Linked DNA regions of Pelodiscus sinensis. The main gene of each other region encodes a partner of the protein of the gene in region 2 in a complex. Links are inferred from orthologs where the notes say so. Each region holds a gene or a part of one and is shown on either strand. Other genes may lie near its edges.

Region 1 (7,048 bases), on a different chromosome or scaffold from region 2:
TTCGAAATAGCTTATTTCGAAATAACGTGTCTACACACAAAATGCATTTAAAAATAGCGTTTTGCTAGTTTGAAATAGCGGGTCCACACTGAGTGGACTCTGACTCGCATGTAAGGCTGGCCAGAACCAGTTCCAGCAGGGCACACTTACTGTGTGGGGCTGCTGCCTGAGGTTATCTGAGGTCTGTGCTTTAAGGGACCCCCCCGGACAGCCAGTTCTCAGCTTTCCCATCCTACCTCGATGAGGGACAGCCCCCTGGACACTTTGGTGCTTCTCGTGGATGCGTTGCTATCAGCCTGGCTGCACTTGCTGCAGGCTGTCATCCGGGAGGTCCATCGAGGGGCTGTCAGTATCCAGGAGGCCCTGTGGGAGAGCGTCCACTCAGAGCCTCCCTGGTCTGCCCACTGGGGGCTTGTGCCTCATTCCTCCCTCACGTCCTTCAACGTACCCCTCCCTAGCCCCCCTTCCTGATGTCAAATAAAATACATGTATTTTAAAAAATATCAAGTCTTTTTATTTAACAAAACTGGGGGGGGGGATTAAACTATGGGGAGACTGGGGAAAGGAGGCAGGAGCGGGGAGAGGGAAACCTGGGTGGAGGGAGCTGGAAGGGGGAAGCACGGGGAAGAAGGGGGAGGGGAAGCTCAGGGCCAGGGGCGGCCCGTGCCTATAGGCAAACTAGGCAGCCGCCTAGGGTGCCAAGTTGCATGGGGCGCCAAATTCCAAACTCTGCCCCTTCCATTTCCCATGCCTTACCTGGAGCATGGCTTCCCTGCGACCAGGAGGGGGGTAAGTCAGCACGCAGGAGAGGGGGGGTTCCCCTGTGCCACGGGGGGGTTGGCCCCGGGGGAGGAGAAACACATGGAGGGTTTCCCCTGTGCCGTGGGGGGGGGGTCACCCTGGGAGAGGCGCGTGCCGGCTTCTCTCGGGGGGGAGGGATCTTGGGAGGAGGTGGGTGCAGGGGAATCTCTCCCCCGACTGGCACCCTGTACCCTCTCCCCGGCCCCCAGCCCCCAAACTCCATCCCCATCCCTTGGCCCCCAGCCACAAAACTCCAATTCCAACCCCTGGCCCCAAGCCCCCAACCCCCTGGCCCCAGAACTTCATCCCCAACCCCTTGACCCCCAGCCACCGAACTCCATCCCACTGTGTGGCACGAGTTGGAGCCACCTGCCCAGGGGTGGCACGGCACGTGCTCACGTGCACAGGTTGCTGCAAGATCCGTGGTAAGCAAGGCCCATGCGCACGGTCCCTGGTCTTCCTCCCCACCCCCCCCCCCAGGAAGGGGACAGTGATGGCACTTGCCTGGTGTGGCTTCCCCGGCCGACCCTGGTGACTCCACTGCTGGGACAGCTCCTCTTCCATGCCCTGATCAGGGCCCTCTGCTCCCGGCTCGCTGCCCCCTGGGCTGGCATGGACCATCCCACCCCCCAGGATACGGTCCAGGGCCTCGAAATGGGGGCAGGTATATGCCCCTGTTGGGGAGCTGCCCTGTTTGGCCCTGGCATATCCCTGCCTCAATTCTTTAATTTTCATGCGCACGTGTTCTTAGGTGTGCATGTGGCCTTTAGTGGCCATGGTGGCAACTATGCGGCTGTAGACGGCCGCGTTCCTTCATCTAGTGCGGAGATCATGGACAGTGGAGACCTCTCCCCAAACCTCAATGCGGTCCATGATCTCCGCACTAGTCCAGGTGGAACGAGGTGTACCGGTAGTTTGGAATAGGAACCTAGTCCGAACTACCTAGTTCGAGCCCCGTGTAGCCACGCTACACGGGGTTCGAACCAGCGGGGATTTAAAAATGGCGGCTCCCCGCTTATGCAAATGAAGCCCGGGAAATTCAAATCCCGGGCTTCATTTCCAAGTGCGGTATGCCTACATTACCCTCCTAGTTCGAATTAGGAGGGTAGTGTAGACATACCCTAAGTGTCTACACAGCAATTATTTCTGATTAGCTATTCCGAATTTATCGTTATTCCTCATAGAATGAGGTTTACCAAATTCGAAATAAGTGCTCCACTATTTCGAATTTATTTCAAAATAGCGGTTTGGCTGTGTAGACGCTAGTAAAGTTAATTTGAAATAACGGCTGTTATTTCGAATTAGCTTTGATGTATAGACATGCCCTAACTGAAGAAGTGAATTATTTTGGTAATAACGAAGGGATAGTAGGTGCCATGCACTTTCTGTGGGCAAACATCAACTGCGTAAGACCCTGGATTATGTTCAAAGCCATGGTTTGGTCCCCAAGTCTGGGCAAAAATATATTGGTAAACTATAATATATCATAGAATCATAGAGCTGGAAAAGACCTCAGAAGATCATCAAGTCCAGCCCCCTGCTCTAGGCAGGACCAATCCCAACTAAATCAACCCAACCAGGGCTTTGTCAAGCCAAGACTTAAACACCTCTAGAGATGGAGACTCCATTACTTCCCTAAGTAACCCATTCCAGTGCTTCAGCACTCGCCTAGTGAAATAGTTTTTCCTAATATCCAACCTGGACCTCTCCCACCACAACTTGAGACCATTGCTCCTTGTTCTGCCATCTGTCACCACTGAGAACAGCCTTTCTCTATCTTCTTTGCAAGCTCCCGTCAGGAAGTTGAAGGCTGCTATCAAATCCCTCCTCACTCTTCGCTTCTGCAGACTAAACAGACCCAACTCCCTCAGCCTCTCCTCATAGGTCATATGCTCCAGCCCCCTAATCATTTTGGTTGCCCTCTGCTGGACCCTCTCCAGTGCGTCCACATCCTTTTTGTAGTGGGGGGGCCAGAACTGGACACAATACTCCAGATGTGGCCTCACCAGAGCTGAATAAAGGGGAATAATCACATCTCTGGATCTGCTGGCAATGCTCCTCTTAATACAACCTAATATGCCATTAGCCTTCTTGGTTACAAGGGCACAATGTTGACTCATATCCAGCTTCTTATCCACTGTAATCTCCAGGTCCTTTTCTGCAGAACTACTACTTAGCTGGTTGGTCCCCAGCCTGTAACAATGCTTAGGATTCTTCCATCCCAAGTGCAGGACTCTACACTTGTCCTTGTTGAACCTCATCAGATTTCTTGTGGCCCAATCCTCCAATTTGTCTAAGTCACTCTGGACCCGATCTCTGCCCTCAAGTGTATCTACCTCTCCCCCCAGCTTAGTGTCATTCTTAAACTAGGTCAACGGTAAGAAAAGTTATTGGTTTTTTTGTCCCAGGGGCTATATCTAGGGGACTCTTCAGTTAAATTACCCCATATTGGGAATAGTAATCATACCTACCTCCAGCTCTGACCTCTATATCTCCCACACACCAGCCTCTCCACCCTCTGTTCTGAGCCCTCCCCCACTATCCTGCGAGCCTCCCCATCCCCATTCCAATGGAAATGAAACTGTATTAATAACAGAAAATAAGAGTTATTGCTTTAATGATGCACATTTTCATTCACAGTATTTTCTATTACAAATTCGCTCAGGTTTTCGTTTTTACTTCTTGTCAGGTGGCATAGGTTCACTTCTGGTCGGATGTGACATAACGGTACCGGCTGGGCCTCACTCATAGACAGGAAAGGTGGATCCTCTTGACGAAGTAAAGCAGTTTTATAGCCAATATATTAGACAGGGGTTGGGACAGCCGCCCCCAGCCCTTATTGGATTAGTTGGTCAAGGGGTACAATTTACAGTGGACAGTAATTTTAAAGCAACGCCTCCTACGCATATAAACCTCCCAAGGGGCGGCGGGGGGGGGGGGCAATTGCCATATGGCAGCGCCGGTAAGAAATGCAAGTTACTTTCACCCCTGCAGGTATGTGATGGAGGGGAACGGAGGGGGCGGGTTTGGGACCCTGGGAGTGACTGGGGCGTGGGCGGGGCCTCGGGGGGGGGGGCGGTGGGCGGAGCAAGGACAGTTTTCTGCAATTAGAAAATGGTCCCCCCCCCTCCGCCCAGCAGGTGCTGGCAGAGGCGTCCCAGTGCAGATGGCGGCGGGCCCCGAGGCGTTCGGCGCTCAGTGGCTGGTAGCGATGCGGCCGCGGCCCTTCCGGCCACGCCCCCCGGCCGGCCGCCCCGAGAGCGGCGTGGAACCAGCGCTCGCGCCCCCCGGCCGGCAGTCGCCCTGGCAACTGCGGAGGCTTCGAGGCGGAGCTTCCCCGCAGGCCGCCAATCGAGCGGGATAAAATGCGTTAACGGCGCCGTGGTGACGTAGCCAAACGGCGCTTCTTACCGTGTACGGAAGTGAGGGCGCTGCCGGGGTCGCGTTGTGGCGTCACGCGCGGCTGCCGGGAGCGCGAGTGGCAGCGCTGGGGTTCGGCCCGGGAGGGCGGCTGCGCGCGCCCGCGCGGTGAGTGAGCGGAGCGGGCTGAGCCGTGGAGTGCTGCGCGGGGGGGCCGGTTTCTGTGCAGTGCTCCGAAGAGCGCGTCGTTCAGGTGACAGACCCGCCCCCCAGGCACGCGAAGGGTCTTTGGACCCTGCAGCCCCTGCTCGCTGGCTGGGTGCGGGCTTGGGGCAACTGCAGCGGGGCTGGGCGCCCCTTGTGGCACCAAGCCCCGTGGCTTGTGCTGGGGACTGCAGCAAGGGCCGTGTGCCCCTCCTCTGCAGTGCTCCCTACTGTGGGTGGGGAGAGCTGTGCAGGCTTGTCCTGCTGCTATGGAGTGAGGGGCTGTGTGCCTCCCCCATTGTAGCGAGAATTGGGTTCCCTGGCATGGTGGGGTTCTTGCCTCTTAGTCTCCCATGTGTGCCACCTGTTCAGCCCTGTCCCTGGTTATTTTTAACAAAGTCCCAGATAATCTCTGTGAATTTTTGTTTATTGGCTGTGACTTTTATTAAAAAAATACGATAATAAAATCTTAGCCTTATTGTTGAAGTCTGTTTCTGTGTAGAAAATTGTCCTGAAGCTCTCTACAGGCAGTCCCTGGGTTACGTACAAGATAGGGACTGTAGATTTGTTCTTAAGTTGAATTTGTATGTAAGTCAGAACTGGTACATATTGTAGGGGAAACTCTAGCCAAACATTTCTCCAGAGCTCAGTTTTATTCTCCCACACCTCACTTCCCTCAGTTCTTTATTCTCAAGCTGAGGTGTCTGCTGAGAAAAGCCGCTCCGCGTCTCCCTGGTCTGCTGGGGGGAAGCAGCTAGTGCGGGGTTGCCTCTCCCCGTTTGTAAGTAGGGATCCGATGTAAGTCGGATCCGTGTAACCCGGGGACTGCCTGTATGTTGCAAAATTGAGAACAACAAATTGATCAAGTATTTTGTAAATGCTTTTATGATATCCTAATACTTTAACAGGATATCAATTGGTTTCTTTTAAGTCTTTCATGAGAGGCTACACTTTTGCAAAATGGCATGACATTTTCCTCTAGTTTCACAATAAAAACACCTGTGATTTGACAGTCTTTTCATATTCTACATGAGATTAATTTTAACCTGAGATCATGTCATTCTCAGAGAACTCAGTGTTCACAGTAAGGATGTTAATGAATAGTTGACTAGATGGATTAACTGATTCGCTCAGGTTTATTGGTGAAGCTAGTTGACTACTTGCATTCTCTCCCCCCCTTCTTCCCCGCCTTCCCTCCCCCCCCCCCCCCCGCTTGCTGCCTCTGAATCAGAAGTAGCAAGGGGAGGGGAGAGAGCAGGATCCAGTGCTGGAGGGGAACTGGATTCTATCAGAGGCATGGTTAGGAGAGGCTGACATGAAGCAGCTTCTGCCTATGTGGGCCCTGGCTTGCTGTGGGCGGAGGCTGCTTCGTGGCAGCAGTGCGATGGACCCCTTCATCAGAAGCAGCAGTGTGAGGGTGACAGGGGGCTCCCTGGGAGTGGGGCAGGAGGGCACTGGCTGCAGGCCCCACCCCTGGGGACTGTAGAATAGTTGACTAACCACTAAGAATTCATGTGGTTAGCTGACACTTTTATTACCCGCTATCTAACATCCCTAGTTCACAGTAGAGTAGTATAATAAAGGAATACTAGTCCAACACATGGGAAATCCCGATGTCACTTCAAATAAGGCTAGCTGAATATTTTTCTCCCAATAAATAGAGAACATCAATAATGGACAAAAGAGGGTTGAGGGTGGAATTTTGAGGTGATGGGAGAGAGTTTTACAATATCAGGGTTAAGTGTATATTTAGTACTTGAATATTTGCCTTAAAGTTAAGACAAGGTCTTGCATTATTTTTAATTCATTTAAGATTATTTGGGCAACTACAAATATACAAATTGTTTGCTAAAACCCTTACCATTCCTTTTTTTTAACAGTTTCCATATGAATGGACATCACCTGAGTCTTACGAAGAAAATTTAAATTGCTTGTACTAATCTGCAGTTGCAAACATGAGTGGCTCCAAACCAGATATTCTGTGGGCTCCACACCATGTTGATAGATTTGTTGTATGTGACTCAGAATTGAGCCTCTATCATATTGAGTCTGCTGTGAGTTCTGAACTCAAAGCAGGATCCTTGCGATTATCAGAAGAAACTGCAGCTACATTATTGTCAATAAATTCAGATACACCGTATATGAAATGTGTGGCATGGTATCCTAAATATGATCCTGAGTGTCTTCTAGCTGTTGGACAAGCCAACGGTCGAGTTGTCCTTACAAGCCTTGGCCAAGATCACAACTCAAAGTCCAAAGAGTTGATAGGAAAAGAATTTGTTCCAAAACATGCACGGCAATGTAATACCTTGGCATGGAATCCATTGGACAGTAATTGGCTTGCTGCTGGACTAGATAAACATAGGGCTGACTTTTCAGTATTGATCTGGGATATTAGTAGCAAATATGCTCCAGAAAGTGCTGTTGCTACAGAGAAAACGAGACTTTCAGCTGGAGATACTGAAGCTGGGCTAGTAGTGACAAAGCCGCTTTATGAATTAGGACAGAATGATGCTTGTCTTTCTCTTTGTTGGCTTCCGCGTGACCAGAAACTTCTTTTAGCTGGAATGCACCGAAACTTGGCTATCTTTGACCTTAGGAATACAAGCCAAAAAATGTTTGTAAATACCAAAGCTGTTCAGGGGGTAAATGTAGACCCATACTTCCATGATCGCGTTGCTTC
Region 2 (7,831 bases):
CTCTTACAGAGCTCTGCGTACTTTGAAAACTTGCCTCTCTCAAGAGGAATGTATCCAATTAAAAAAACCAACTCTTCTCCCCCTGCCCCCGTGTCTCTCTAGGAAGCAATAATGCAGAAAAGGATCCACAATAATTTACTCCGGATCACCATCTAAATGACAGTCAATAAAGTCACACTGCTGCCCCAAACAGGTAACCGTTCTGATGTGTTAGCAGGTGTGCTGGAATCCTGTGTCCAGCTGTGGGCGCCAAACTTGCAGAAACATGAGGACAAACCAGAGGAAGCCAAAGGAGACCTAGAAAAATGTTTTAAAGATCTAGAAAACACAACCTGTAGGAGGGACTGAGAAAATTGGGTTTGTTTGGTCTGGAATAGAAATGACTGGGAAGGACATGGTAACAGCCTCCAACTATAAAAAAGTCTGTTCTAAAGAGGGTGAGAAATCATTCTCCTTAACTACTAAGGATGGGACCAGAAGTAATGGGTTTGAATAGCAAGCGAGAGTTTGTTAAGCATCAGGAAAAAGTTCTCCACTGTCAGGGTAGGTAAGTGCTGCACCAAATTAACTAGGCATCTGTCACTGGAGGTTGTTAAGAACAGACTAGAGCAGCGGTCTCCAATCTTTTTACACCCAAGATCACTTTTTAAATGTCAGGACAAGCCAAGATCTATACCCAACCTTCCCCAAGATCACACTCCTTCCTTGAGACCCTGCCCTCTCTGTTCCCCTTCTCTCCATCACTTGCTATCCCCAGCCCTTATACACTCTCAGGGTACGGCTACACTGCCGCTTTTTTCGATCCTTGCGTTGGAAGAGATTTTTCCAACATTTGGCCCGTCTGGACTGGGACAAATGTCGGAAACCCCCTTCTTTCGGAAGCCCCCTCATTCCTTGTGGAACAAGGAATACAGGGGCTGTCAAAAGAGCGTGTTTTCCGGAAAAACTCCTGCAGTCTAGCCGTACCCTCCCCGGGTGGAGACAGGAGGTGCAGGCTCTGGGGTGGGAATGAGGGATTTAGGTGTGGGGAAGGGTGAGAGGTGCAAGCTCTGGGAAGGAATTTGGATGCAGGAGGAGGTGGAGAAGGGGATGCTGGATCAGGGAGGGGGCTCCAGGCTGGGGAATGTTGGGCTCAGGTGGAGGGTTGGGGTGCTGAGCAAGCCACAGGCTTGTGGATGTGAGGGTGCAGGAGTTTGGGTTGGGGGTGTGAGGGGCTCAGGACACAGATTTGTGATGTGTGGATGGTGCAGGAGTGTTGTGGCCGAAGACTGAGAATGTGGGGGTGCAGGAGTTTGGGGATGTGAGAGGCTCAGGCCAGGGGGTTCCAGTGTACAATAGGCTCAGATTTAGGGTCGGAGTGGGGGGTACAGGAGTGTTATGATGCTGTGGCCAGATGGGGGCTTGGCCCCAATTGGGGGCTTGTTGGCCAGGCTTCATTTTGAAAGAAAATATTCTGCCAAACTCAAAAGATTTCAGCATTGTCTTTATTGATGAGAGGGGCAGGGAACCTGTTTTGAGTCAGGGGTCACTGACCCACAGAAAAGTCAGTTGGGGCCACACAAGTGAGATACAAAAACACAACCCCTCCAAACCTCACTAATGTGGCCCCAACTGTGCTGGTGGGGGAAGGGGGGTTGGGTGGGGGGGAGGGGACAGGGTACTTCGGGATCCTGCAGTTACACACCAAGTGCACAGGCTGCTACTTCGTCCCCCAAACAATGGTGCAGTACCTGAAATGCTGGTCCATAGCACACCTGATCCCTTCCTGCACAGGGGAAGGGGGAGTCCTGGACTGCGCCAGCCCCAACTGCTCGGGCAGCGCGTGCCTTGCTCCTCTGCTCCCCATGGCAGCACGCACCACCTGAGCAGCTGGAGCCAGTGCAGTCCTGGACCCCCACCCATTCCCCTGTGCACAGGAAGGCAGCAGGGGAACAAAGTCCCCAGCGCGCGACAGATCGGCATTTTAGGTACCATGCCGGCTGCTGGGGGCGGGGGGAGCAGCCCACGCACTTCTGGGGCCTGGCGTGCAGCTACAAAACTCCCTGCGACCCCGCAGGAAGCCCACACTACCTCCATAGTCCCTGGAGGTAGCATCACTGCAGCATTAATCTTGGGGGTGGGGGGCAGCGAGGGGGGGCCCCCAAAGCCTCATGATTGACTGGTTGAGCCTCAAGGATCGACCAGTCGATCGTGATAGACAGGTTGGTGACCATGGGACTAGAGAAACAACTCTCAGCTACGGTCTGGATTTATTTGATTCTGCCTCAGTACAGGGACCTGGACGTGATGACTTCTTGTGATCCCTTCCACTCCTGAATGTCTACGGGGAAGAAAGGATGGAAAATCCTGGTTAAGCTGACCTAACACTTAACCAGGTTCTGGGCAGGGAGCTGCTCCAGCCCACTGGGGTTCGTGCTCCCAGCCCCTGCCAGAGCAGCCCCATCCATGGCAGGCTGGGCTCCCCAACAGAGACTGCTCTGGACGCTAGGCTGGGGCTGAGGGAGGTTGGGGGTGGGGCTGGGGGGTGCAGAAGGGGGCTCTGAGCAGGGATGCGGGGGGGGCTGGGGACGAGGGAGGTTGGGGGTGGGGCTGGGGGGTGCAGAAGGGGGCTCTGAGCAGGGATGCGGGGGGGGCTGGGGACAAGGGAGGTTGGGGGTGGGGCTGGGGGGTGCAGAAGGGGGCTCTGAGCAGGGATGCGGGGGGGGCTGGGGACGAGGGAGGTTGGGGGTGGGGCTGGGGGGTGCAGAAGGGGGAGGCTCAGGCTGGGTGTGCAGGCTCGGGGGGGGTAGGGCTGGGGGGTGCAGAAGGGGGAGGGGAGCCCGCGGCGCATGCGCCCTGCTCCCCAGGCCGAGCGGGCTCGTTACCTGCGAGTCCCGGAACTCCACCACCACATTCTCGCTGCTCCAGCGCGCCGCCATCTTGCGCCGCCCCAGCGCCAGGGGGCGCGGCTGCGTACGGTGCGGCCGGAAGCGCAAGGCCTGCTGGGAGTTGTAGTCCCAGGGGCGGGGCGGGGATTGCTGCCAAACGCGAGGCTCTTCCCCGCCAGCTGCCTGCCTGTCTGTCCGTCCCCCCAGCTCGGGCAGGAGCAGCAGCGAGTTGGCTTTGTCCGGCTCCCACGCTCTCTTCTGCAGCTGTTACTTGTGCGGCCACGTGCCTCAGCCCAAGACGCCCGGGGAGGGCAGGCCCTGCATTTCCTAGCGAGCCATGAGTAGCGTGTGACGCCCGTGTTACAAAATGCCTTTACAAATACAAAGTAGTGTCATGTCTGCGAGTTGCCATGCCCTTGCAACGGCCCCAGTCTGGCAAGCACTTGGCCACGTGCTTTGTTTAGCTTACATGAGCAGTCCCACTGAAATTCATACCAGGGCTCACATCCTGGATCTTGCAAATGTGGCAGTGTATTGTACTGTACTAGGTGAGGTTACTGGGGTTACTCATGTCAGTGGCAGAACCTCCACTTTATAAATGCCTGAGATAGGGACTGAGCTGTCAACCACACAGTCACAACATATCTGGAAATGGAAGTGCACAATCAGGCAGCAGCAGAGAGCCCCCAAAAAGCAAACACAGTGCAGTACTGTGTTAAACTTGAGTTTTTAAACAATTGACAAGGTAAGGAAACTCTTCTATGCATGCTTCATTCAAATGAATATGATTAAAAGCAGAATTTTTCTTCTCCATAGTAAAGTTTCAAAGTATCAAATCAATGTTGTAACTTTGGAAAAAACCATAACATTTTGAGAACCTGAAAGCAAAACTAACTAGGAAATAACTTTAAATAAAACTGACTAGTCCGTTTCCTAGCAGAAGCTAAGTTAAATGCAAAAAGTAAGCAATACATATAAATAGTGAAAAGTGAATTAGGTTGATGATCATATTCTAAAAAGTTCCTACTACTGCTGCTTTGAGAACTTTTCAGTGTAGCCCTGTTGCACTTAGAACGCTGAGAAAGTAAAAACTATTTCACTCAACTCTACCATATCAAGTCACCGTTGTTGGTTTTTTTCTGTTTGTGTGTTACAATCTCAGGCCTCAAACTCTGCAATGAGATGAGTAAAGAGTAAAGCTTTACATCCACGTGGCACGCCACTGAATTTTGTAGTCAATTGCACAATCATGGACAAAGGGAGGACGTGATGATAATCTACAAATATTCAAATGCTGTAAATGACAGGAAGGGAGAGGAATTATTTCAAGTACAACTTGAAAAACTTCCTTACCATGGAAGCTATTAGAGCCTCCAGTAGTGTGGAGGAAGTGCACAAGGACAGGACATTTTTCCAATGGGCTGGGTGCATCATTATTAAGAGCTGACAGTGTGCTCTCTGTGTGCAAGATACAAAATACAGTCTCTGCTCCAGAGATCAGAAAAGTTCTACATGTATATGTGTATAACATTACACACATGAGCAATTGAGCAGATCCACTGAAGTCAATGAACCAGGTCACCTGTATGAGGAAAGCTACTCGTTTGTCTATGCTTCAGCGATGTCCCAACTTTAAAATTGAAATATTTATCTTTCCTTTGCCTACCTGACCTATTGAAATGTGGTAAGCATATGAGGACCCTGCCTGTCTCTTGTGTATCAGTACAGTCGCAGTGCTGGATTGACACACAAGTTAACTACAGTTTAAGGCCTCAGATTCAGAGGGGCCTTTAAATACAAAAAAATTACTCATTTTTAGGCACATTTTCACTTATGTACTGGGAGAGATGCAAATGATACAACTTTATTATTTCTATTGCCATTGTCCTTTCTGTTAGAATAATACACATTTTTAGTGTCAAGTATCAGAGGGGTAGCCGTGTTAGTCTGACTCTGCAAAAGCGGCGAGGAGTCCTGTGGCACCTTATAGACTAAGGTGCATCTGATGAAGTGGGTCTTTGCCCACGAGAGCTTATGCTCCTACACTTCAGTTAGTCTATAAGGTGCCACAGGACTCCAAACATTTTTGGGTCGTGGTAGTGGGGATTTTAAACTTGACATAGCTCAGGGCAGGGGTAGGGAATCTAAGGCCTGGGGGCCAGAGGCGGATCCGGTCCCTGAAGCTTGGGGCTCTCCCTCCCCAGCACTGGGGAGCCTGCACTGGTGCTCCACCCCTCCGCCATCCCTCCACGGGCTGGAGCACACAAAGTGTACTAGCCTGGGGGCACGGGTGTGCAAGGGGACCATGGGGAGTGTCTGTCTCCTTCTCAGTGGGGGGGGGGGGGGTTCTTTGGACTTGCGGCCGCCCTTGACTGATGTTCCTGTGGCTCAGCGGCCCCCAACCCAAGCAAGGTCCCCAGCCCTGACTGGGCCCTGGTGCGGTGCCTGTCCCAATGGGCCCTGCAGGCTCCTGGCAGGCTCTGGGACTCAGGCTCTGACACTGGTGTATTGCAACAGGCACCGTCATTGCACCGGCCCTGGGCGACAGCGCCCCCCGCCCCCGCCGCCGGCAGTGAAGGGGTTAATGCGGGCGGGGCGGAGCGAAGCGCGGCGCATGCGCGCGGGCGGCCCCTATTGTCTCGGCTGGCCCCAGCCGCGAGCGAGGCGGCGGGAGACTTCGCTCCACGGACCAGGCCCCCTGCGGCCCCGAGTCAGGCGCGCGCGCGGGTCGGCTCTGCGGGTGCTAGCGGGCCCCGGCCTCGCAGCCAGGCGGGCGGGCGGCCTTTGCTCGCTGCTCCCCCTCCCCCGCGGCGCGCGGCCCCCGCCTGCTCCACCCCCTCCCCCCGGCTCCGGCTGCGGCTGCGCGGCCGGGGGCCCGGCGGGGGGGCCATGCCGGCGGCGCGGCGCGGTTTTAATTCCTAGTGTGCCGTCGCCGCCTCCCCGCGTCCCTGCCCGCGCCGCGGAGCCCATGGGCGGCAAGCAGAGCAGCGCGGGCCGCGCGCGGGACCCCTTCCCGGGCGTCTCCAGCGACGACAGCGCCGTGCCCCCCCCGGGCGCGCCGCCCCCCTTCGGGCCCTACCGCGCGGGCGGCGCCATGGGGCTGCGCAGCCGCTCCGTCAGCTCGGTGGCCGGCATGGACCCCGCCGCCGCCGCCGCCGCCGGGCCCTTCGGCCTGTACGCGCGGGCGGCCGCCGACCCCGAGCGGGCCCCGGCCGGCGGCGGCTCGGCCGCGGACTCCACCTACGCCCATGGCAACGGTTACCAGGAGACGGGAGGCGGTCGCCATGGCGACGGGATGCTCTACCTGGGCCCGCGGGCCTCGCTGGCCGACGCGCTGCACATCGCGCCCCGCTGGTTCAGCGCGCACAGCGGTGAGTCCGGGCCGGGGGGGGGGGGGCGCGGGGGCGGTGAGTCCGGGCCGGGCCGGGGGGGGGGGCGCGGGGGCGGTGAGTCCGGGCCGGGCCGGGCCGGGCCGGGGGGGGGGGGGCGCGGGGGCGGTGAGCCTGGGCCGGGGGGGTGTCCGTGGGCTGCTCCCTGCGGGCCCGGGCCCGTGTTCTCAGCGGCACCCCGGTCCCGGGCGCTGTAACCGGACCGCCTGGCCCAGCAGAGCCAGCCGGGCACAGGGCCCGTGCCAGGCAGAAAGCTGCCAGCACCTGCCCTGGCCTTCCCCTCCCTGCTCTGCCTTGGCTCTCCTAGAGGCCTCTACGGCAGGCCTGAGTGTCCTCCCTTGCCGCCTGTCTGGGGGTGGGTCAGCTCCGGCAAAAGTAGCCTGGGGTGGTGTAAACCCGCTCCAGGGCAAGTAGTTTGCTGGGAAGGACTGAGCCGGGTTTTGGGCTGGTGTGGTTATAGTCTCTAGTGTCTGGATGTCTTCAGGAAAAAAATGAAGAAGGGAGGGTCTGGGAAACCTGAAAATGAGAAGTAGGAGTTTGTGCCCTTTCTTCTGGGAAGAGGCCACAAAAAGAGGCCGAAGGGGTTTTCCCATCCGACCAGCTGGCATAGTCAGGATGCCCTGTAGCAAGTGGAGAGAGAGGAAATGACTTGTCTGGCCTGCTTGAGGATACTGTGGAGTGAGCAGGCACTGCTGTAGGAAATCTGTTAGGGCTGAGGGAGAGAGGAAGCCCTCCCCTCCCTCCCCCCCCCCCCCCCCCCCCCCGCCTCGCTCCTAAACAGCTCCATTGGCCGGGCTGGCTGTCCCAGTGGGATTGTCAGAGACCTAAGGCAGGGAAAGAGTGGGAGCCCTCCCTGCTGTGAAGTCATTTCAGGGATGGTGTCTTGTTTCCTGGAATAGTCTGGGACTTTCTCCCCCTCCACCGCCTTCCTGAGTGCTGTCAATGACCTTGTTCTGGGAATCTCCTAGTACCTCTCAAGAGCATGCCTCCTTTCATGGGGAGCAAACGTAGGACAAGGGAGTGAAATGCAAAGCAAGACTCATAGGACCCGCTTCTCCCAATCGAGGGGGCTTGCTGCTGCCACTTGGACAGGTGCTCTCTGGTGCCCTGAGTTAATGTAGGGTACCCCAACTGTTCTGCTGTTACCCCAGACAGTCAAGAAAGCCTAGTGACTGGAGCACAGGGTTGGGAGTTGGGACTCCTGGGCTCTCTTCTAGCTGCCCTGCCGTGTGACACTGTGCAGCTGCCTGCCTCAGTTTCCTTCTCTGTTTTTTAAAGCAATGATTCTTCTGTGTGGCATGTTGTCAGCTCCTGAAAGCCAGTATAATCATGCCAAGTGTCAGTGTTGCAGTGGAATCCCACCCAGTTGTAGGTGATGGCACCTGTTCTGTTAGAGTGGAGCTGCCCTTCTCAAAGTACCTTTCTGAGAGGCATGATCTGAACGTCAGTCTTTTCTTGCTTGCTTACTGATTTGCAAAATGGACTAATGCCCCTCCTGGGTCTCCCAGCTGTTAGTGTGAGTTAGTGAAGGTTTGTGTTACTGCATGTGATGTGCTTTGCTGTGTGTGTGGCACT
Region 3 (7,026 bases), on a different chromosome or scaffold from region 2:
TAATATCTGTCTTTTAATAGCTATTTCATATTTCTCTGACAGGTATATCACCCCACTACAGTAAAAATAAATAGTGCCTAAAAGTTAGAGCAATGGATAGAAAGATGGTACTCTGAGGCTCCATTCTCTGCCACTGATGCTGTAGCCCTGTGCAAAGCTACTTAATTGCCCCATTCTTAGCTTCCCTCTTTATAAAATAATATTTTTTTTAAATGCTGGCCTACCATACCCATGTACTCAGGCTTCATTAATCAATGTTTGTAAGTCACTTTGACATCCTTTCATATAAAGCACCAAGGAAGCGTACTTACTGAGAGAAGATGCTGTTCTTTGGGGTGGAAGACTCACATGCTGAAGTGTTATATTCCTTTTCTAAGTATACATGCACACACTACTCTCTCAATTTCATTCTTCTGTGTTCTCCAAGCAACAGCCTACGTTCTTAGGGGTTTTTTTGTTTATTTGTTTCACAGTAGCAAGTCCCAGACATCAGAATGAGAGCTCTAAATTGTTTCTCCTTCAGCCAACTCCAAACTGAGTCTTTTGCTTTCTTCCACCCAGAGCTGTAACATCCCCATACCTCCTTGTGCCTACCACCTACACACACAAGCTGTAACTAGAAGGTGCTGTATAGATAAACTCATTGAAGTAATCGGAATTGCACAGGTAACTGACAGCTGAATTTTCCCCATTACCACAATTTAAAAAAAAAATCAAAATAATTTTTCTTCAGTAAAGCAAAACTCTCAGCTTTTTTTTTTTTTTTAAATAAATACTTACAATCATATCTTCATGAGAAGTGTCCACAGTGTTAATTACTGATACCTGAGGGGGAAAAAAAATCACTTACATTTAGTACAAATGCCAACAGGGAGACTGAAACTGAAGTTTACTCAGAGACTATTTTATATTAAAATACTCAGGTAAGATGTTTTCCTCTAAGCTACACTAAGGATGTAACCCATTTCCATTCAATAAAAACTTCATCTCAGGTCAATCTTAGTTTACCTTTGCAATGTTATATTTAAGGTGGAGAAAGTACCTTTGCTTTCGTTCTGGGTTTTGGTAAGTGTGAATTTAACAGTGGCTTGCCCTCCATGGAAAATAATATCCTTTTTATTTATGGACACGATAGAGCCCAGGCTGTGGCAATGCAAGCTTCCCCACATTACCTTACCAATTCTTTGTGTCTCTGTCCTGGTCTAGAAGGGGAGGAAAGACAGTTTGATCTCCCTGACTAGTGTTTGCTGAGGCTATGAACAAGCGTGTCTCAGTGCCAAGAATTTGGAAACTGGACTGAAACCAAACTCATTTCACAGGAGCCACCTGTACAGCCATCTGTAGCCAGACACACCAACCCCCCATATCATCCATCTTATTTGCCTCTCTGAAGCATACAGGGCAGAGAAGGAGCAGTAAAATCAGCATAGTCTATGCTGGCTCATCTGATCCTGAGAAGCTGAAAAAACAGATATGTGGAGAGAGAGAGCAATTAAGTCAATAAGCTGGCCTCGAGGCTGCGAGAACTGCCCCAGCTGGCACCCATGTTGATTCGAACACACACACAGTCCCTGGGAGAGGAATTTCCCACTGAGAAAAGAATCCCCCAGTAATTCCAATTTAGTTATCTCTCTTACAAGTGTAAATTAAGTTCACAACTCCCTTGTAAGAATTGGTCTCACAAAAGGGAGACCAGCACTATTTGGCATCACAGATAAAAAAAGAGAAATACGTGACCCAAAATGGGTATAAAAGATGGGTTCAGCACACACTCACTTTGAGTGTCATTCTACCCTCTACCTGCTGGTCAGGTTAGGTGTTTGACCTCCCGAGGTTCTATAGGGACGCCCACCTCGTATTTTCATCTTTCCTAGGAATTGAGGGACCGGCCCTGGCCTGACATGCTGGAGTCGAGACGCACAGAAGGGGGTAAAAATTGTACCTGGATGTGGTCCTCTGTCTTAAGTGTACACATAGAAAGAGTAAGCTGTTACTTGGTACCATTATTTCTATTTTTCTATCTATCTTCTTTGTAACCATTTTTAAGATCTATATTTTGCTAGCAGTTAAGAAATAGAACAATAGCCATTGCAACCATATGATTTATAAGCTTCCTCAATAAACCTGTAACTGTTTAAGCTTTAACCTGACTCCTTCAGTTGCTGTAACAGAACCAAGCACAATTTAAAAGAACTTCAGCCGGTCTAAAGGGACAGTTATAGGAAGAGCTTGGGCGTTTGGATCTGTGTCACTCCCAGGTGACAGGGTCCACTGGGGCACTTCTCAGCCTTTCCTGGGCTGCCCGCTGTGAAGGAACTTCCCCCCTCTCCCGTGTTCTAGCAGCTAAAATCTGAAGTGTAATAAGCTCTTCCTACACACTGGGACGTCTGTTAGCCTGTTTGGCTACCCTCTGCGACGGGACCTCGGTCCTAGCAGTAAAGTCACGGACGTTAAACTCTCGGGGCTCCTTTCAGCCTTCTGGGCTGCCCGCTGCGACGAGACTTCGTGTCTTAGCAGCTAAAGACTTAGGAGACACACCCACACACACTGCCCTGACCGTCTGCTGACACCATCAGAGCCCAGTGATTTCAGCTCCTTAGTCAGACTGGACAGTGTAGCAATGCTGAAGTAAAGGTCATCCCTTGAAACACTCAGTATCCCTAATATATGTTGAGGATGAAGGACAAAAGGATACCTTCACCAGACATTCAAAATCCGGGACTTCCTCCACATTCTGACTTCATTTACCTGGCACTGCTCACTTCAAAATGCCAGTGTCCTGTTTTGGTTGGCAGGGTCTGCTTTTTGTATCTATTCTGCATCTTGCTAACAGTCCCTTTGTGAGAAAGCAACAAGACCACTAGGCAGCATCTAAAATAAGTTACCAGAGCTCCAGAATTTTCACTCCAGTTTAGACAAACAGGCCATAAATAAATCACTTCACTGCTCAGTACTTACCTGTAAAGTACCTCCAATCTGTGAAACAGGGATAAGGATACCAAACATCCCTAGGATGTAGAGTGCTATATAAAAGCATGTCTACAGCTGTAATGTTTCAGTGAAGACATGATTATTCCAATAGGCAAGATGCTACTATCGATGGAGTTTATCCACCTCAGGCTGTGGCTAGACTGCAGGGTTTTTTCGAAAAAAGTAGCCTTTTTTTGAAAAAACTTCACCTGCGTCTAGACTACAGCCACATTCTTTCGAAATTAAATCGAAAGAACGTGGCTTTTCTTTCGATGGGGGTAATCCTCATTTCATGAGGTATAATGCCTTTTTTCGAACGTGTTTTTTCGAAAAAAGGTGTTCTTGAATGCAAACAGGGTTTTTGAGAAACAGAGCATCCAGACTGCTTGAGTGCTCTCTTTCGAAAAAGTGGCTCACTTTTTCGAAAGAAGAGATTGCAGTCTAGACGCTCTCTTTCGAAAGAGGCTTTTTCGAAAGATTCTTTCGAAAAAGTCTCTTTTGAAAGAGGCGTGAAGTCTGAGGTAGACATAGCCTCAGTGATAGGCAGTAGCTATGTCATTGCGAGAAGCCCTCCTGCCAATAGAGCGCTCGCTACACAGGGGGGCTGGGTCAGTATAACAACCTCATTCAGGTTGGACTTTCCACCCCTTAAGCAACTTAATTATAATCAATATGAGTTGATAATGCAGCGCAAGCCCCAGGTGTACAGCAGGCAGTATCCATATCAAGGAAAGCCCAGCGTGGTGGTTAAAGTTCACGGATCTTCTAAGTAGGCACTAGGCTGTGGTGCAGCCCAAAGCTGCAGCTGGGGCTACGCTCCTGCTGCCTCTTCTAAGATGTGTTTGTCCATCTCCAGCCTACACTCTACTCCCCCCCCGCTTTTTTATTAGTGGCCGATCACACGGGGGATGCCCAGGAGCACGGGGCTTGGAGCCCTCACCTGGCCAGGGCCCTGCCGCGGGAAGCTCGCGAGCCTACCACAGGCCGGGAAGTGAGGGGCCCGCCCGCCCTCCGGGTCAGCGAGAAAGCGGCGAGACCCCCCAGGGAGGGCGGCGAGAAAGGCCCGTCCCGGGGGGGGGGGGCAAGGCAGGGGCTTGGAAGGAACCTGATCGCGCCCCTGAGACGCTGTGTCCCTCCCCGGTGGGAAGGAGCCGCTCGCGGGGCCTTACCATGGCGGCGGCGGGGCGGGCCGGGCTCGTGCGGCTGCTACCGGCGGCTCAGACGTGGCAAGTCCCGGCCGGGTTCGCGGTGCGGCGATGAAATCGCCCCGGTTGGGAACATGCGCCCCACGCTCTTCTTCCCGTCACGCCAAAGTTCCGCCCGCCGCTCGGGCCCAGCTCCCCGCCCAGAGCCGCCTCAGGCCCCGCGCCGCTCAGCCTGTGCTGCTGCCCAGCCCCCGCGGCGAGCTGCGCTGCTCCGGCCTGCCCTGCTTCTTCGCGGCGGGCCCTGTGGGTGCCCCAGCACGGCGCATCCAAATACCGAAGGTGGAGCACCCACAGGGCCGCCGCTATCAAAGAACTGCAGTTACTGCAGAGGGTGCGTGACCCTCTCTTCTCTCCAGCCTGGCGAGCATTCACCTCTCTCAGATGAAGTGATGAAACAAAAGGAAGGGGAGTTTTACTTACTCCCTAAAACGTCAGTCACAACGGCCCTAAACTTCCCCTGGACCCCATAGACTATCGCAGTGTTTCTCAAACTGTGCTCCACGGAGCCCCAGGGCTCCTCAAGACATCTCCAGGGTCTCCCCGAGGTTGACAAACTGGAAACAGGGATAGGTACAACACAGAATCAGTGGGCTGCTGGGGCTCCGCATACATTTTTACACATGTAAAGGGATCCGGAGCCCAAAAAGTTTGAGAACCACGGACCATAGTGTCTCCTGCTGCTAGATTTCCCACTTTCCCCAGATTAAGGGATTGCCTTCCAAATCACCCAGGCTACAGAAGCCAAAAAAACCCAAACAAAACCAAGCCCCCCAGGTAATACCTAGATGTAGGGTTGCCAGGTGTCCGGTATTCTACCAGACAGTCTGGTATTTGCACTCTTTGTCCGGTAAAAAAAATCAGATTCTCTGATTTTTCCAGCTGCGCACCGGACGGAAGCCTGGCAGGGGCGGGGGGAGCGGCTGGAAAGTGGGGCCACGATCAGCGGTAGGAGCCTGTGATTGCGCAGAAGCCTGGAAGGGGCAGGGTGTGTGGCTGGGACTCCCAGCCACTCCCCCCGCCCCTGCCAGGCTTCTGCACAATCACAGGGGCCCAACGCCCATGGTGGCCCCGCCTCCTAGCCTGGGAGTCCCAGCTAGGAGGCAGGACAGCGATCACCCCTCTGGGCACTTCAGAAGCCTAGCCAGGACGGGGGGAGTGTCTGGAACTCCCAGCCACTCCCCCTGCCCCCGCAAGGCTTCTGAAGTGCCCAGAGCATTACCAGGTGGGGAGTCCCCAGCTGGGAGGCGGAGCCGCGATCGCACTTCAGAAGAGTTCTGGGAGTCCCAGCCACTCCCCCCACCCCAGCTAGGCTTCTGAAGCGCCCAAATCGATGATCGTAGCCCCGCCTCCTAGCTGGGACTCCCAGGCTGGGAGGCGGGGCCGCCATCGGCACTGGGAGCCTGTGATTGCGCAGAAGCCTGGCAGGGGTGGAGGGAGTGGCTGGGAGTCTGCTCCCCGCCAGGCTTCTGTGCAATCACAGGTTCCCAGTGCCGATCGTGGCCCCGCCTCCCAGCCTGTGAGTCCCAGCTGGGAGGCGGGGTTGCGATCGCTGCTTATCCCGCATTCCTTTTTTTTTTTGCTCGACCAAAAAATACCTGGCGTCCGGTATTTTTTGGGAGACCATCTGGCAACCCTACCTAGATGGATGGCAACCCTACAACAGGGAGTTGTTCCTGATTAATAGTGTGGACACTGAGCCTGAAACAAGAATGCCTGCTTTGGTTTAGCTGAACCATAGCACAGTTAATTGGGAACAACTTCACATGTGGATAAGGCCTAAACTACTGGTTTTGCTGTCCTATCATTAACTTAATGGCTAAGTCTACATTAGCATTTTACTGCACTGTAAGTTTCTGGCTCAAGGGTGTGGAAACCCCCTCTAACCAGTGTAGCAAGTTATAGAGCTGTAAAGGGCCAGGGTAAGTCAGGCTATAGCGGGAGTTGTTAGCTATTCCAGTCATGGTGGTGGTTTACCAAGAGCACTGGGAGAGCTCTCTCCCAACACCCCTGCCATGATCACACTGACTGCTGTGTTACAACACTTCCACTGTTGCTCTTTAAACTTTTAAGTGTAGACCATGCCAATGTCTTTGAGAGAACAGCACTAGGAGGTTAGAGCTGGCATTAACAGGTGAGTAATACACAGAATAGTGCACAGGGTACAACCATGTTGTTAAATAGGCCAAAATTTCAACTGAAACAGCCTCAAACTTGGTGGAAGTTAACATCTGGCTAAAACTATAGTGGTTTGGGATTATCTTTGTAACCCCAGTTCCAAACACTGCTAAACTTTGGCCAGCACGCACTAGTCTTTCTAATACTACTGGTTGAGAGCCATGGCAATGGTATTGGGGTTACATCAAGGAAAACAGACCCCTGACTTCCAATTTTGCAAATAACTGTTAAAAGTATCTTCCAGTTGTTAGGAAACCATTGTTAGTATCTAAAAGGTTAGTCTGTCAAAACTGCTACCTGCAATGAATGTTCCAGTCCTGTAGTGAGCTTCTATGCAGCCACATAGAGCTCATAGCTGGAGTAGAGTTTATGGGAGGAAAAGTCTCCTGGATTCTAAATACACTTAGGTTACGTCTAGACTGTCATGATTTTCTGCAAATGCTTTTGACGGAAAAGTTTTCCGTTTAAAGCATTTGCGGAAAAGAGTGTCTAAATTGGCACAGACACTTTTCCGCAAAAGCACTTTTTGTGGAAAAGCGTCCGTGCCAATCTAGACGCGCTTTTCCGCAGAAAAAGCCCCTATTGCCATTTTCGCGATCGGGGCTTTTTTGCACAAAACAAATCTGAGCTGTCTACACTGGCCCTTTTGCGCAAAAGCTTTGCACAAAAGGACTTT

The links.
Region 1: the proteins of WDR59 (region 2) and MIOS are in contact, whole or in part, in a cryo-EM structure (PDB 7UHY), measured with the Homo sapiens proteins. The link is inferred for Pelodiscus sinensis from reciprocal best matches to the Homo sapiens genes WDR59 and MIOS. Residues at the interface, in NP_085058.3 of Homo sapiens: Tyr871, Arg876, Glu877, Arg879, Ala880, Glu881, Leu883, Lys884, Pro889, Pro890, His893, Lys894, Gly895, Ile896, Glu897, Phe898, Gly899, Val900, Tyr901, Arg906, Glu908, Val909, Arg910, Thr912, Phe922, Gln923, Ala925, Ile926, Cys927, His928; in NP_001357005.1 of Homo sapiens: Asp705, Trp710, His711, Arg713, Ala714, Ile718, Ser721, Lys728, Pro729, Leu730, Ala731, Gln732, Val733, Phe734, Val735, Ser736, Cys737, Asn738, Phe739, Ile744, Lys780, Pro781, Leu782, Pro783, Leu787, Cys788, Leu789, Gly793, Pro795, Gln819.
Region 3: the proteins of WDR59 (region 2) and SEC13 are in contact, whole or in part, in a cryo-EM structure (PDB 7UHY), measured with the Homo sapiens proteins. The link is inferred for Pelodiscus sinensis from reciprocal best matches to the Homo sapiens genes WDR59 and SEC13. Residues at the interface, in NP_085058.3 of Homo sapiens: Ala525, Tyr526, Gly527, Asp531, Ala532, Asn533, Ile534, Pro535, Phe536, Pro537, Arg538, Thr539, Ser540, Gly541, Ala542, Arg543, Phe544, Cys545, Gly546, Ala547, Tyr549, Val551, Phe553, Thr554, Arg555, Met557, Ala644, Gly645, Lys646, Val647; in NP_899195.1 of Homo sapiens: Val4, Ile5, Asn6, Thr7, Val8, Asp9, Thr10, His12, Asp14, Met15, Ile16, His17, Asp18, Ala19, Gln20, Met21, Asp22, Tyr23, Tyr24, Gly25, Leu28, Val42, Pro59, Trp61, Gln62, His67, Pro68, Tyr79, Ser105, Asn107.

Annotation. Positions count from the first base shown.
Region 1 is NC_134712.1:209,684,704-209,691,751, reverse strand, and holds the start of MIOS (GATOR2 complex protein MIOS), read left to right. Parts: upstream 1-3,967; 5' UTR 3,968-4,215; exon of another isoform or gene 4,216-4,414; intron 4,415-6,245; 5' UTR 6,246-6,320; coding exon 6,321-7,048. UniProt on the Homo sapiens protein: As a component of the GATOR2 complex, functions as an activator of the amino acid-sensing branch of the mTORC1 signaling pathway. The GATOR2 complex indirectly activates mTORC1 through the inhibition of the GATOR1 subcomplex.
Region 2 is NC_134722.1:48,050,283-48,058,113, reverse strand, and holds the start of WDR59 (GATOR2 complex protein WDR59), read right to left. Parts: upstream 3,033-7,831; 5' UTR 2,919-3,032; coding exon 2,865-2,918; intron 1-2,864. Other genes in the region: E3 ubiquitin-protein ligase ZNRF1, read left to right, coding at 5,482-6,238. UniProt on the Homo sapiens protein: As a component of the GATOR2 complex, functions as an activator of the amino acid-sensing branch of the mTORC1 signaling pathway. The GATOR2 complex indirectly activates mTORC1 through the inhibition of the GATOR1 subcomplex.
Region 3 is NC_134721.1:19,785,512-19,792,537, forward strand, and holds the start of SEC13 (protein SEC13 homolog), read right to left. Parts: upstream 3,022-7,026; 5' UTR 3,007-3,021; coding exon 2,959-3,006; intron 826-2,958; coding exon 781-825; intron 1-780. UniProt on the Homo sapiens protein: Functions as a component of the nuclear pore complex (NPC) and the COPII coat. At the endoplasmic reticulum, SEC13 is involved in the biogenesis of COPII-coated vesicles.